Linked DNA regions of Pelodiscus sinensis. The protein of the gene in region 2 interacts with the protein of the main gene of each other region in a pairwise test. Links are inferred from orthologs where the notes say so. Each region holds a gene or a part of one and is shown on either strand. Other genes may lie near its edges.

Evidence for each region.
Region 1: the proteins of TRIM42 (region 2) and KLHL38 interact in binary tests that used the Homo sapiens proteins (3 or more experiments, as listed by UniProt). The two-hybrid records come from large-scale screens. The link is inferred for Pelodiscus sinensis from reciprocal best matches to the Homo sapiens genes TRIM42 and KLHL38.

What each region holds. Positions count from the first base shown.
Region 1 is NC_134712.1:19,646,602-19,654,337, reverse strand, and holds the start of KLHL38 (kelch-like protein 38), read right to left. Parts: upstream 3,046-7,736; 5' UTR 2,813-3,045; intron 2,285-2,812; 5' UTR 2,169-2,284; coding exon 819-2,168; intron 1-818.
Region 2 is NC_134720.1:12,775,180-12,782,531, reverse strand, and holds the start of TRIM42 (tripartite motif-containing protein 42), read right to left. Parts: upstream 3,073-7,352; 5' UTR 3,002-3,072; coding exon 2,649-3,001; intron 1,046-2,648; exon of another isoform or gene 622-1,045; coding exon of another isoform or gene 608-621; intron 212-607; coding exon 1-211.

The sequences.
Region 1 (7,736 bases), on a different chromosome or scaffold from region 2:
AGTTGCTCTGCCCCCGGCTTCCTGGAATCAGCTGCTGATCAGTTTCAGCAGCAGCTGACTTGGGGATGCCTGGGGTTCTTAAGTTGAATCTGTATGTAAGTCAGAACTGGCATCCAGATTCAGCCGCTGTTGAAACTGATCAGTTTCAGCAGCGGCTGAATCTGGATGCCAGTTCCGACTTACATACAGATTCAACTTAAGAACAAACCTACAGTCCCTATCTTGTACGTAACCCGGGGACTGCCTGTAATTGCCATCACAATTTGGTGTCTCTGCTGATACTGTCTGAGGATGAAGGACTGAGACCCTCAGTCAAGCAGACACTTAATCACCCACCTAATAGTGAGCATTGACTTCACCAGGAATACTCACATATACAATTAGCCATGTGGTTAAGTTCTTAGAGGTAGGGCCTGAGTAGGCATAACTTTGTAAGACTTTCAATATGACACCTTTCACATGCACCAAAATCATAGAGACTCTACCCTGAGATCTTGTACTCAGTTTTACTCAATGAGGAAAATCTCATTGAAATCAATGGGAGTCTGCCTGAGAAAGGACTGAGTAAAACCTCAGAAGGGCCTCAGGCTTTGGGCCTTAATAATAAAGGCTACTTGTGGAAATATAAAAACATTTAAACATAATTTTCTACATACTGGAGCATTTCCAACTTAGGCACGTGTTTCTTGCCTTCTACCGCATGAGACTCAATGCAAATTCAGTTCTATCTTGGGCTTTGATTTCACCCACTAGGTTTGGTATCAATCACTGAACACCCTAGACGAAATGCACGTATATTGACCAGGAGCAACAGTTACCTGTATTAGACGGACAGGGTTCTGCATAATATCTTCCCCTCCAAAGAGATAAATTCTTTGGTCTTTAGCTGCAACAGCAGGATGAAGTACAGCCACGGGCATGCTTGCCATATTCTCCCAGATGTTATAAATGCTATCGTATCTCTCCATGGAATTCAGTATTTCCTGGTTCTCTCCAATTCCTCCAATTGAGAAAATGTAGTTCTTATAGGCTATGCTTCTGTGGGAATAACGTGGAACCAGCATGGGTTCAACTAACCTCCATTGATTTAGCTTGAGGGAGAAAATATAAACATGATCACTGACTGGACTTTTCTCATTGCTAACGGGCATCCCTCCTAATACATAGATATTGCTATGCAGGCTCACTGTGGAAGCTTTGTAAAGGCGCACAGGATGCTTGGCGAGGCTCAGCCACTGGTTGGTTTTCTCATCATACAGCAGGACGTCCCTGGTTGTCGTCTGGTTGTCCTTCCTGCCACCAATGATTATGAGAAACTCTTGGTATGAATATCGGCGAGGAACGTGCCACATGGGTTTGATGTCAGGAGTGCTGGTGCTATACAATGAGAACATCTGTCTCCGGGCTGATTCCAGGATGCTTCTACAAGCGGGTGAAGACTGAATGAGGGAGTCATTGGCGATGAAGTGGAAAAGGAAGGTTGGGTGGACATACTGGAGCCGGACCTTCTTGAACAAATCTTGGATGTAGCCCTGTCGTGTTTGGAGGTCATGCCGGATCCAGACCATCAGTGTCTCAAACACTTGTTCCTCCTCAGCACAGAGCTCATCATCCCCCAGGTAATCAATAAGTTCCAGGGCACAAAGCTCCTTCAGGTCTTCAGAAGATGCTACTGCAGGAAAGCACTTCAGAGCCATCTCCTTGGCTTTCTTATTGAGATTCTGGCAGTTCAAGATTTCAGAGAACCTTATCATGCTCAGGCAATTATCAGGAGTCAGCTGTCCCTGGAGGTACAAGGAGCAGGCCTGAAACAATTTTATGTATTGTAACATAGAAGTGGCCTCCATGAGGTACAAGACGTTCTCGGGTGTTATAAGAATCTCTCCTGTGTAAACATAAAGGACAATCTGATACAAAATATTGAAGTCAATGCCTTTCAAGTCGACTTTTGCTTGGCAACTCTCTTTAAAGTTGTTACAGAACATTGCCTTGAAGTAAGGACTGCTTGCAGCCAGCACATTCCTGTGGCAAGGGATTTCAAACTCACTAGTGCAGAGAGTAACATCAGTCAACATCCCCTTTTGCCTTAAAATGTTGAGCTGCCTCAGCAGTTCAGAGGAGAAGTCCTGGTCTGTGAAGAGAAAGTCCTTTGCAGATTCTTCCTCCATAGCGAAACGTGGGAGAGAAGAATATTGGGCTTGGCAGAGAAAACAAATTCTTAGCAGCTTTTATTTCAATGCCCTGTCCCAAAGTGGCCAGGGAACAGATCTTTGATGGTTACTCTCTGTTTGTGCATAGAAATAGGAACACTGGTTGAGTGGAGTGGGAAGGCAGTACACAAACCAAGTGGTCACTCAGCATCTGTTTGTTTTTTAAAGGTATCAGATGTGAGGTCTGACTCTTTTATTAGCACGACACAAAACATAAGCACTACAGTTCTGTTGCTGACTTGGATTTAATGTGAAAAGCCCTAAGCAAATTGTATGTTCATTTTAAACATGTCTAATAAATGTACTTAGCCTGTTCTTTGCTAGTTTAAAAGTATTCACAACGGAGTAACTTATGACTCCTTCCCTTAAAGTTAGTCATTCCCAAAGAATGTAAATCTGGCAGAGCTAAACTCTGCAGTAGGACAAACTTCAGAGACTTGGAATCTGCATTAAAATGGCTATTAACTCTGCTTAGCTGTTGTTTTATATTAATTAGACATACAACTAAACAATGTGCCAGGCAGAATGATAATATGGCTATCTATCTTCATGGCTATCTGACTGCTCAATATGCAGTGAAATTACAGCTTAGAAATGTTTACCTTATGTTGTCCTTGACTGCACTTCACTCACTTTGTGCCGTTTATTCTTTGCTGAGATTTTCCATAGCTAGTACATGAATAAAAACTATATACCCCCAAGACGTTCCTTTCTGTTGGTAAGTGATTCATAGAGGGCCTTTTCTGAATTTGTTTATTCTGAAGGCACTTTCCCTGCTTTCAGGAGCTTTGTGAAAGAACCACCAGGCAATGAGGCATTGTGTACATTCCAGGGCTAAGAATAGTCACATATGGACTTCTCACTGTTATCACATGTGACTTTCCCCATGCCTTTTGCAAAGAGCTAGACATTACTGAGCATGCCCAAGGGGTGTTTTTTTGGCATGTGTTTACATATAACAAATAGACTCTGAAACCAAGGTACACTTATAAAAGTCCTGGCTGTCCATTTCGAAACAGCCGGAAGGCCCTGTCCTGAAGTGCCTGGGAATTCTAGAAGCCTGTAAACAGTCTTAAGTGCCTACCACTGGGCATGTTCAAAAGTTTCAGAGGGATAGCCAAGTTAGTCTGCAACTGAAAAAACTTAAAAAACAATGAATAATCCTGCAGCACTTTTTAGAGACAAACAAAAAATGCAGATGGTATCATGAGCTTTCATGAGCAAAACCTACTTCTTCAGATGAATGGAGTTAAGGGGTCCAGGTTTCCAATAAATAGCAGAGAAAGAGAGGGGATGAGGAGGGAAAGAGAAGGAAAAAAATGGGAAAAACTATTGTCAGTTAGGGTATGTCTACACTACAAAGTTAATTCAAACTAACGGACATTAGTTCAAATGAACTTTGATAGGTGCTGCACTAGCGCTTCGCTAGTTCGAACTTAATTCGAACTAGCGGAGCGCTTAGTTTGAATTAGGTAAACTTTGGGCAGGGACACCACTCCTACCCCCTGGCTAATACCACTCCATGGACCCAACCTCCATGACTTTATCTCACTTCTCTTTAAACTCTGTTATAGTTCTATCCTTCACAGCCTCCTGCAGCAAGGAGTTCCACAGGTTGACTCTTTGCTTTGTGAAGAACAACTTTCTGTTACTAGTTTGAAGCCTGCTACCCATTCCTCTCCTTTGTTGTCCTCTAGTCCTTCTATTATGGGAACTAATGAAGAACTTTTCTGTATGCACCCTCTCCACCCCACTCATGCTTTTATAGACCTCTATCCTATCCCCCCTCAGTCTCCTCTTTTCTAAACTGAAAAGTCCCAGTCTCTTTAGCCTCTCTTCATATGGGACCTGTTCCAAACCTCTGATCATTTTAGTTGCCCTCCCCTCTCCCACCCTCTCTCTTCCCCTCTCCCACCTCCTTTTCCCAGTCTCCCCGAGTTTTGTTCAATAAAGAGGGATTCTATTTTTGACCACACGTTTTCTTTATTTTGTACATCAGGAAGGGGGGCTAGGGAAGGGTAAGTGGAAGGAGGTGAGGGAGGAATGGTGTACGAGCCCCCGATGGGGAGGACTGGGCTGGCTCTGCGGGCTTCTGGGGGTGGAAGCTCTCCTACAGCCCCCCAATTGCCCCCTTTCCCCAGATGGCAGCCTGCGGCAAGTGCAGCCGGTCTGATGGCCGAGTGCTGTGATGTGCCGAGTGTGGGCACTCAGGGCACTCCAAGCCAGGACTGCTTTGCAAGCGGGGAACCCTTGAGAACTGTCTGTCCGTGGTGGGGGTCGGGACCCTTTAAGCACAGCCCTCGGCTAGCCTGAGACAGCATCTCCACGCTCTACGTCCTCATCTGATTCCCTGCCGGCACTGCTTCTGGCCATCCTTAACCCCGGTTCAGGGTCCACTTAATGTGGACATGCTAGTTCGAATTAGCAAAACGCTAATTCGAACTAGTTTTTTAGTCTGGATCCGTTAGTTCGAATTAGCTTAGTTCGAATTAACTAAGTTAGTTCGAATTAGCGCGGTAGTGTAGACATACCCTTAGAGTGTCCATGCTAAATGAAGCTGATAGATTGGGTCCTAAGTACTCTTAAGTGCCTGGTGCTTATCATTTCACACAGCAGATCAGTGTCAGAAGCTGCAATGGAACCCAGGAGTCCTATCTCCCTGTCTCTGGTGGTGATCACTTGAATGGTCAGAAATTCCTGACGTCTGCATGCAGTTACACCCAGGTAAAAACCAGACAAAGTCCTTTGGTGCCTCTGCTCTGCTATGGGGAGCACATCGCTAGTCCTGCTCTTGCACCGTTATCTTCACCCCAGCGGATCACAGCGCTGTGGTGTCATCTGTTCCTATAGTATAGAAACAGAGGCTGCTTCATACTACAACCTGGGCCCCATGTGGCAGTTTCCAAATATGTATTTACATAAAACCATGTTACATAAAACCATGTTAACATAACTGAGGGCTAGACAGTGCTGTCAAGATACCGCCCTGTGCTGGGGCAGGGCGGAGCTGGGGACAGAAGCAGGGGGAGCACTGGGAAGCATCTTGGAGCCTCTCTGGTTACACAGAGAGGAGCATAGTCTGACACCCCCCCATTAAATAACCCCATCCTGTGCAGCCAGCCAGCCAAATCTATCGGCCAGTGCAGATGGGGGAGTAGGTAGAACTCCATAGCCCTGCCTACTCCTCTCTCTCTCTCTCTCTCTCTCTCTCTCCTTCTCCCACTTTCAGGGGACGTGGTCCCGAGCAGCATAATTAGTAGCCCTTGCACTCCCAGGAGCATTGTCGCAGCAATGTGGGCCATGCAAGGTGGGCTGGGGGAAGGTGCATTGCTGCCTTCCATACCGCTGCCTAAAGAGCTGGTCATCATTATGTCCTAAATATTTACAGTACAATTCAAAAACCAAAATTAAAGGTTCTGCTCCACATTCAGGGAAAATTAATGATGCTGAAACCCGAGCAGATAAGTCAAAAAGCAGCCAGGCATGTCTGCGTTATATGGTGGTTCTTATGCTGAGTGCTTTGGCATGGTGTCTCTCTGCACTAGCACTAGCTCCTTTAGGGTTTGTTTGTTTAGCTTTTCTGGCAATAGCCAAGGATTTATTTTTTAACCCTTAAAGAAACTATCACAGTCCTTCAATCCTGGATACGCTTCACTTATATTGACATTTTATGGTGTCGGGAACTGGGGTTAGATGGGTGGGATTTTTGCTGTTCCTCTTGTTCTGGATGCTGGTGTATGTTTGAAAAACATTTATAACATCAAATCTTGAGGTCTTTACTTATGCAACATCCTTCTGACTTCAGACCCTGGCCCATATAGTTTAAATAAACAATTCCTGTTTGACTGGGAATTGATGCTAAGACTTCACAAAGGGTTTCTGCTAATTCCGGCCATGCCTCTGGGGAAGTGAAGGTATTGCTGCCCGTCTTTGATTACCTCTTCCCTTTGCATGAAGGGGGGAGGAAGGGCTAACAGTTTCAGAGATGATTCTCCCAACAGTGGCGCACCTTAGAGAGCTATGTGCCTCAGCTGGATCATTGTCAATGAGTTTGCTTGAATGATGTCATAGTCATAACTGTTTCAGCTTGACACAGAGCAGAGCCTGCAACTGAACTAGCAGCAAATGTTTGGGATGGGTTTTCCTGTTAGTTAAAATATGTTTTCATGCAGCATATTAGAAATAACCAGGTCTCTCTCTTTAATGCTTAGATTGGCCCAGGTACCTCAGCACCCTACAATATATCACAAAACCTCTGTGAAGTAGCAGTGTATCTCACAGGGAAACTAGGGTGCATCTACACAGCACCCTAAGCTCAAAATAAGCTACACAATTTGCACTATGCAAATTGTGGAGCTTATTTTGAGTCTATTTCGAAACAGGCTGTTTTGAAATTTGGCACTGTCTACACAGCATCAAATTTTGAAATAACGCGCTATTTCGAGCCATCCCTTAACCCTTGTGCAACGAGGTTTACAAGGATGGTGAAATAGCATCCGTGTTATTTCAAAAACTATTTCAAAATAACAGGCATGTTTCTAAGATGCAAGGTAGCTACAGCATTTTGGGATACTGAGGTATCCCAAAATATCACCTCTCTGTAGATGTATCCTGAGACACAGAACAACTAAGTGACTTGATCAAGGTCACATAGAAACCCTGTGGCATAACATGGAATTGAACCAAGGCCTTGTCACATGAAGGTCAGTGCCTGAACTACTGGACCATTGTAACAAAAGCCTCTGAAGCCTCTTGTTTATATGTCTGGATGTTGTGTGCAGGACATACAGGTATCTGTGTAATCCCTCCCTTAGTGCCAGAGGAAGAGTCATGCTATTATGTTACCCAGCTCTGGAAAGAGAGGCAGTGATATCTGTTATCATTCACCAAGGAGTGTGATTGAAATAAGATGCAAAACAGCATGTTAGCAGAGAGCTGCACAAAGCACACCTGTGATACCAGGTAATGTTTCAAAGCAAGTGATAAGAACAAATTGTGAGAAAAGAAAGTGAATCTGTATGTCGAGCAGTTTGGTCTAGTGGGTTAATTTGTTGTTATTAGCACTGTGGCCGTGGTTGCAAGTCCCCAGATGAGTCCGCAGCTCTACTGTGCTAGGGACTGAACAGGTATGAGGTGACAGGCAGCCTGTTCTCTAGAGAGCTTAGAATCTGGACCAGACAAAGGGTGAGAGATCAGAAGTGTTAGCCCCATTTTCAGTCTTTTTTAACATCTCTAGTATTGATCTGGGAGAAATGTAACTTGAATCCCCTCCCACACCCAAACTCCCTCCCAGAGCCTGTGCCCTGCACCTCCTCCTGTCCTCTGAGCCCCTTAGCCCCAGCATGGAGCCCCCTCCTGCATTCCAAATCCATCATCCCTGGCCCCACCCGCCTGCACCCCCAACTGGAGCCCCACACCCAACCCACTGCCTCAGGTCAGATCTCCCCTCACCCCACCCTAAACACCTCATTTCTGGCCACATCCCAGAACCCCCTCCCCAGTACAGAGCCCCCTCTCAGACCATAT
Region 2 (7,352 bases):
GTTCTCAGTTACTTCAGCCTGGGCTTTTCTTTTATCTATACACTTCTCACAAATGCAGTGGTTGCATGGCAGCATAAATGGGTAGAGATATAGTTGTTTACACAATGGACAAGTGAGCTGGTCACGAAAAGCATGTCCTGATGCATCTCTCTCCAGTGTAATGATTGATGTGTCACTTTTACTTCGAAACCTTGGTAAGGCAACTTTTGAACTGAAAAATAACCCCCCCCCCAAAATGGATTCTCGGTAAGAAACAGATTCTAATGCACATGGTCATGTTGTACAACCCCATCAATTTCTATTTTCCCCAAGATTTTTATTTAAAGAAACAGGTTACGACTGTGCTTTCTTCTGCCAGCAGTACATGCAATGAGCATTTCTGTTCACAGTAATAGTTGCATATTGGTTTGTACAGTGTATATGAAGCTGCCTGTTTTATTTTGCAAGATATTCCTTTTGCCATTACCAACCACAAGTGTTGCAGCTGTTACACAAACATCACTAGCAAACACCTGTATTTAATTTCATCTCTTTTTCTTGTTTATATGCTTTGCATGTTAAATTATAATGAGTTGTTATACATGTGAATAGTAAAATAAAAAGGTACCTCAACAACTGCATCTAACTGTAGTTTGACTTACAAGGAGAATCAAAGTCAGTGTTATAATGGCACCTTATTGCCAACTCAAGATTCTTTGTGGACAAAAGTTTAAAAAGTGAGTTGGGTGTTTTAAAGTTTTCAATGCCTGACTTGGGATGCCTTAAAAAAGCCTGATTTTCAGAAAGTGCTCTGTAAGTCAGGCTATGTCTAATGTGTATCCAGCAGGGCACTTGGAATCTTCCTGGTCACTTTTGAAAAACTTGGCCAACTGTCTCTCCACGATCATTCCAATGAAGATGACATAAGCTCAGTTGGTTAATATAGTCACTAGAACGATGAGATAAAATTGCTGCCTCATCATTCAGTCTTTGCTGTAGACTTGGCTGTGGCTTTGTACCCACTCCCTGCTTCTCTAATGCTGCCTTCACTCCTACTTTTCTTTCCTCTCCATGCTTGTTGCTGCTGTTTAATCCCATATTCCAAAGCTCCTCACACACTCCCACATTGCTGCTTCTCCCCCTCGGCTGTTGCCTGTCCCCTCCTGCATGTATCAATTATTGTGTGTAATATCATAAATAAACAGATTCTTCCTAGTGCTGCCCTTTCAGAGCCAGAGTTACATATTTTAAAGGCAAGAATCACTTACGTGTCATGTAGCTCAGCAGATCAATCAGTTTTTTTCTCTACTCGCAGTCTAACTTTTTATTGTTACTAGCACTACTTTGGTCTGGCTACAATTTCTCAGAGCCATATCTCCCCCTCCCCCCATTGTGGTTCCTTAATGTAATCTATGCTTGGTGCTGTACGTATTTCAATTCCCTCCCCTCAAAACTAGCATCATCCCATCTTTTTACTCTTTTGAGAAGATTTTTTATGCAATTGACTCTTCATTTTCCTCTACTCCCATACCTTGCCCACCATTTTCTATTAGAGTACATTTAGACTATGGGATAAAGTAAAATTAATATACACAACTTCAGGTACATTAATTGCGTAGCTGAGGTTGAAGTACCTTAACTCGACTTTTGGCGCTGTCTACACAGCAGGAAGTTGAAGCGAGAATGTTCTCCCTTCGACTTCTCTTACTTCTTGTGAAAGCAGGGCTACCGGCATTGACTGGACCATCCCTCACAGTCCAAATTGGCTGTCTTAACGTGACATGCTAATTCGAACCCTGGAAGACTGACAGCGGCAGCTTCGATCTTCCTCTAGAGTACACATACCCTCAGTCAGCATTTTTCTCTTACATCAGACTTCATATGCCTCTTTCGAAAGCATGTGTCCCATCTCACTGCACACTCCTCTCTTTCATTTTCTCGGGCTTTCACTCACTTAGGCTACGTCTAGACTGCCTAAAAAGCTACTTCTTTTGAAAAAGCCTCTTTCAAAAAAGAGCGTGTAGATTACAACCATTTCTTTTTCAAAAAAGCAAGCCGCCTTTTTGAAAGAGAGCATCCAGACTACCTGGATGCTCTCTTTCGAAAAAGCACAGTTTGTATTACATAGAGCCTTTTTTTGAAAGAGCACTTTCAAAAAAAGGCGTTATTCCTTATGAAACGAGGTTTACCATGGTTGAAAAAAAAAACTGCGTTCTTTCAATTTATTGTTGAAATAATGAGGCAGTAATCTAGATGCAGATAAAGATTTTTTGAAAAAAGGCCACTTTTTTCGAAAAATCCCTGCAGTCTAGACACACCTTAGAGCTGGGGGGAATTTGTTAAAATCCAAACAGTTCACAAAACAGAGTCCTTTTCATAGAATTTTCAGCCTTGAATAAATTTCAGGAAAAAAGTTTTGAAAAATTGTCAAACCATTTTGATATTTTCTAAATGAAAAATTCTAATTGCCCACTTCAAAATATCTTTTTTTTTTAAATCTATAGCTTAAAGAGCAACAGCAAAATGGAGCATTTTGAAATGATGGAAATAAAACATTTCATTTGATCCAAATTGAAATAAAAGTTCAGGGTGTGAGTTTGGTTTTGGGGTACACAGATGATTTTTTAAATTTTCCTCCTGATTCAGAATCATTCTTCCAATGCACTTACTGGTGTCGTCTTCTGGCTCTGGGAAGGTATGATGCATAGAGGGTATTCCTGCAGCATCTGCTTTCATAATATTGGCAGGTGGTGTTCTCTGAAGTACAGCAACAGCATTTGCAGTCTGGGTCATTTGAACAGGAGCAGCAGCACCAACGACAATTTGGATTCTCTGAACACGAGCAGTGACAACACTGGCAAGCTCTGCCTTCTGCATATGGGCAGGGGCAACAGCTACAATTCCGCTCATCAGTGAAGAAAAAACGCCAGCATGAACAGCATTCTTGATCAGTCCTTTGCAGTGGGGGGCAGCAACGGCAGCCTGGGCAACATGGCCAGCTGAGGCATAACATACTGACCATTGTTCCACAAAACACTGATCACTTTACACAGTAGCACTTTTTAAATAGCTTTGAGCTGGGGTAAATGGTTCTCATTCCAGTTAGGAATAATGATGTCACAAGGAGCTATTTAACAAAGGACAATGTAAGTGATGTGCTGATTACATCACGTTTATGTCACAATTACTAAGATCGACCTGTGCTGTTTCTTGTATTGGTACTAGCAGAATTGCATGTGAGCTAGCAGCAGCCACATCTCCCCACATCCAGTGGTGCTTATGAATTTCCAGCAGAAAAGTCTGAACTGTGCTGAAACTTTGGGAGCACCATAATATAAATGGAACGCAATATAAAATAAACACAAGTAACACTACACTGCTTGTATTATTCGTGACTTTATTGAAAGAAATCATTTGCCTCAGAATGTCTAAAGTACAGGCAGTCCCCGACTTACGCGGATCCGACTTATGTCGGATCCGCAGTTATGAACAGGGCTTTTCTCGCCCCGGAGGACACGGACTGCGGGACCTTGCGGTCCCACCGCCCGTGTACTCCGGGGCGAGAAAAGCTGCTCCGCGTCTCCCTGGTCTGCAGACCAGGAAGACGCGGAGCAAAGCTGCGGAGGGGCTCAGGCAGCGGGGCAGCCCAGGTGCGCCTGGGCTGTCTCGCTGCCGGCTTCCCCCGAGGCTTTGCAAAGCCTCGGGGGAAGCTGGCAGCGGGACAGCCCAGGCGCACCTGGGCTGCCCCGCAGCCCCAGCCCCTCGGAACTGTCTTCCAGATTCAGCCGCTGCTGAAACTGACCAGCGGCTGACTACAGGAAGCCTGAGGCAGAGTTGCTCTGCCCCGGGCTTCTTGGAATCAGCCGCTGATCAGTTTCAGCAGCGGCTGACTTGGGGACACCTGGGGCAGAGCAGCTGGGGTGCTGCCCAGTTGGCCCCCGCAGCGCTGCCCCTGCGGGGACCTACCCGGCACGCCCCAGCTGCTCTGTCCTAGGCATCCAGATTCAGCTGTTGTTGAAACTGATCAGCGGCTGATTCCAGGCAGCCCAGGGCAGAGCAACTCTGCCTCGGGCTTCCTGTAGTCAGCCGCTGGTCAGTTTCAGCAGCGGCTGAATCTGGAAGCCAGTTCCGACTTACATACAAATTCAACTTAAGAACAAACCTATAGTCCCTATCTTGTACGTAACCGGGGACTGCCTGTACTGCAGATACATAGGGAGCCTTTCAGCACAATGTAGATGCAGCTTGCCACAGAGAACATGAGGATTTTTCTCCTACCATTATATGGGCGTATCTTTTTCAGGGAAGATGACCACTCACCCCACTCCTGTATCATCCTTCAAAATTCCTCCTCTTCCAGTTTCTTCCCATCACTTTGGATTGGTGATGTAAAGACTTCATTCCTAGAGGCACAATTTCAGCATCTACCCTTTATATCTGCATGATATCCATTTACAGATGAGAAACAGCAGGATTTTCAGAGGGATTAAGTGTATTATCCCAGTTCATGGAGAAAGTCTGCGGCAAAGCCAGCAAGGGTATGTCTACACTAGCTCAGTAGTTCGAGCTAGATAGGCAAATGAGGGTAGGATCTCTAATTCGAAGTAGCGGTACACCTCTTTCTGTGTAGCCACGGGCACGGAGTTCGGACTAAGGGGGATTTAAAAATGATGGCACCCAGGAAGATGCAAATGAAGCCCGGGATATTTAAATCCCGGGCTTTATTTGCAACTCCGGTTGCCCTCATTTGCCTACCTAGCTCGAACTACCGAGCTAGGGTAGACATACCCTAAGTGAATCAAGGATGCCTAAGAGCTGGCCCTGTGTCCTCAGTACAAGACCTTCCCGTTGAAGATAGTTTTTCCTTCCAAACATTACAAAGTTGACAATTTTTATCATGGATCCAATCTTGATTCTTTTGATAGTCTGCTCCAGGCTCCTGAAAGGCCTCTGCTGCTACAGACAGATCCCAAGGAAAGGGGTTCAGTCCTGTTCTACATGAAAGCTGGTGTAACTCATAGCCATTGAGGATGCATCTATGCTAAACTGTTATTTCAGAATAACAGTCATTATTCTGAAATAACAATGTGAGCGTCTATACAGCAATTCCATTATTTCACCTTCCCCAACCACCTGATGTAAATTTCTGTAAACTGCCTGCCATGGTCTAACAAGGCCTGGAGGACCATAGAAAAGTATTTCTTGTGATTAATGTAGAGAGATTCCCGGTGGTCGAGGGCCTGGATGGAGACGTGGGTGCCATCAATAGCCCCCCCCTGCAGTTGGGGAAGCCCATGGTGGCAAAGCCAGTGACGGTGAGGTCCATGTTGTTGAGCTGGATGACCCTGCACAGCAGGATGGTGTTGATGGCTGTCCCCACCTACAGAAGGAGACAAAGAATCACTGGGGTGACAGAGTCCTTGAGAGGCCACCAAGCCCCCCCCTTTCATGCCCACCCACACCAGGTGCCACCCTCTAATGTAGCCATCCCCCCTTTCCCTAGACTTTCCCTTTCCAGCACTTTACCTACCCCCCTCCTGGTATTGCAGCCTGAGAGTGCCATACCTGCACAATGAGGACCTGAATGGTCAACTTCCCCATGCCAAACTGATTGCCAATGGATCTCTAACTTTCCAGCATGGCGAGCTTCCAGATAGCGATGGCGACCCACTTCTCCATGGAGATGGGGGGTTTTATCTGAGTGTCCCATCATGTGAGGGCAGGGGCAAGTCAGGCACACAGCTCCAGAAAGTTCTTCTTCCTCATTCGGATATTCTGGAGCCACTGCTGGTTGCCCCACTGCTCCATCACAAGCCGGTCCCACCAGTTGGAACTGGTGTCCAGCTGCTAGAAGTGGTGGTGCACAATGGGGTGCAGGTGGAAGAATTGTACTCCCAGACAGAGGTTGAGGCTTCCCTCGAACAGCTGGGGGTCCATTTTTCTGGTGTACCTATACATAGTGGCTTGGTAGAATCTTCTGACAACTATTACTGTACTTCGCTTAACAATAAACCTGACTGGGCACCTTTGATCCTTATCTGATTTGTGTCTTTGCGGGCTTTCTTGAAGTCTGCTGTGTTAACTAACTCTACAAGTCAACACAGCACACATCACTGAGCACATGCAAGCAGCCTTCTAGTTATCATCATTGACAGAGCAGAAGACCTATCAGGACACCACAACAGTAAATCCTGACCTGACAATAATGGTGGCTCCTGAAGACTCTGTTCCCTACCCAAATTTGTCTAAATGGATGAAGACCTGACAGTAGATGGTATGTCTGATGCCGATGTCATTCACTGGCATGGGAAGGGAATGGTTGACTTAGCACTGACGGCATTTCTCAGGAAATACAAGAAAATGTTAATCCCTCACAAACCCATGCAAGGGACCTTCTATGCTTCCCGAGATACAAACAAAGGAACCATGGCCAAGGCACTATTATGGAAGGAATTTTCAAACTATTTGACACATAAAGGGCCACAACTGACATTCTGAAGAAAACCTATAACATTAACAACCTCCCTCAGAGCACCATCCTTTGCCGCCTACCAACACTTCCTTCCTATACAAAAACATCCCTCCCAATGATAGAATTGCTGCCTATCTCAAATGTTTACAAGAAAATGGGCAACACTCAGATGTCTACCCCAAACACATCACCAAACTTATCCATTTCATCCTCACCCATAACAATTTTACATTCAATGACAAACAGTTCATCCAAACGACTGAAACAACCATGGAGAGTAGGGTGTCTTTACAATATATCAATCTCTTTATGGGTTGTATTCAGGAAGAATTTCTGGATAAGTACATCAGAAAAGCAATTCTTCAGCTGCTCCCCGTAGGTCATGGGCTTTAGCCCCCTAATCATTTTGATTGCCTTCCACTGGACCCACATCCTTTCTGTAGTGGGGGGGCCCAGAACTGGATACAATACTGTAGATGTGGCCTCACCAGTGCTGAATAAAGGGGAATAACCACGTCTCTAGATCTGCTGGAAATGCTCCTCCTAATGCACCCTAATATTCCTTTAGCCTTCTTGTCTACATGGATACACTGTTGACTCATATTCAGCTTCACATCCATTGTAATCCCCAGGTCCTTTTCTGCCAAACTGCTGCTTATCCAGTTGGTTTCCAGCCTGTAACAGTGATTGGGATTCTTCCAGCCCAAGTGTAAGACTCTGCACATGTTCTTATTAAACCTCATCAGATTTCTTTTGGCCCAATCCTCCAATTTGCCTAGGTCACTCTGACCCCTATCCCTGCCCTCCTTCATATCTACCTTTCCCCCAACTTAATTTCATCTGAATACTTGCTGAGGGTGCAATCCATCCCCTCATCCAGGTCATTAATAAAGATGTTGAA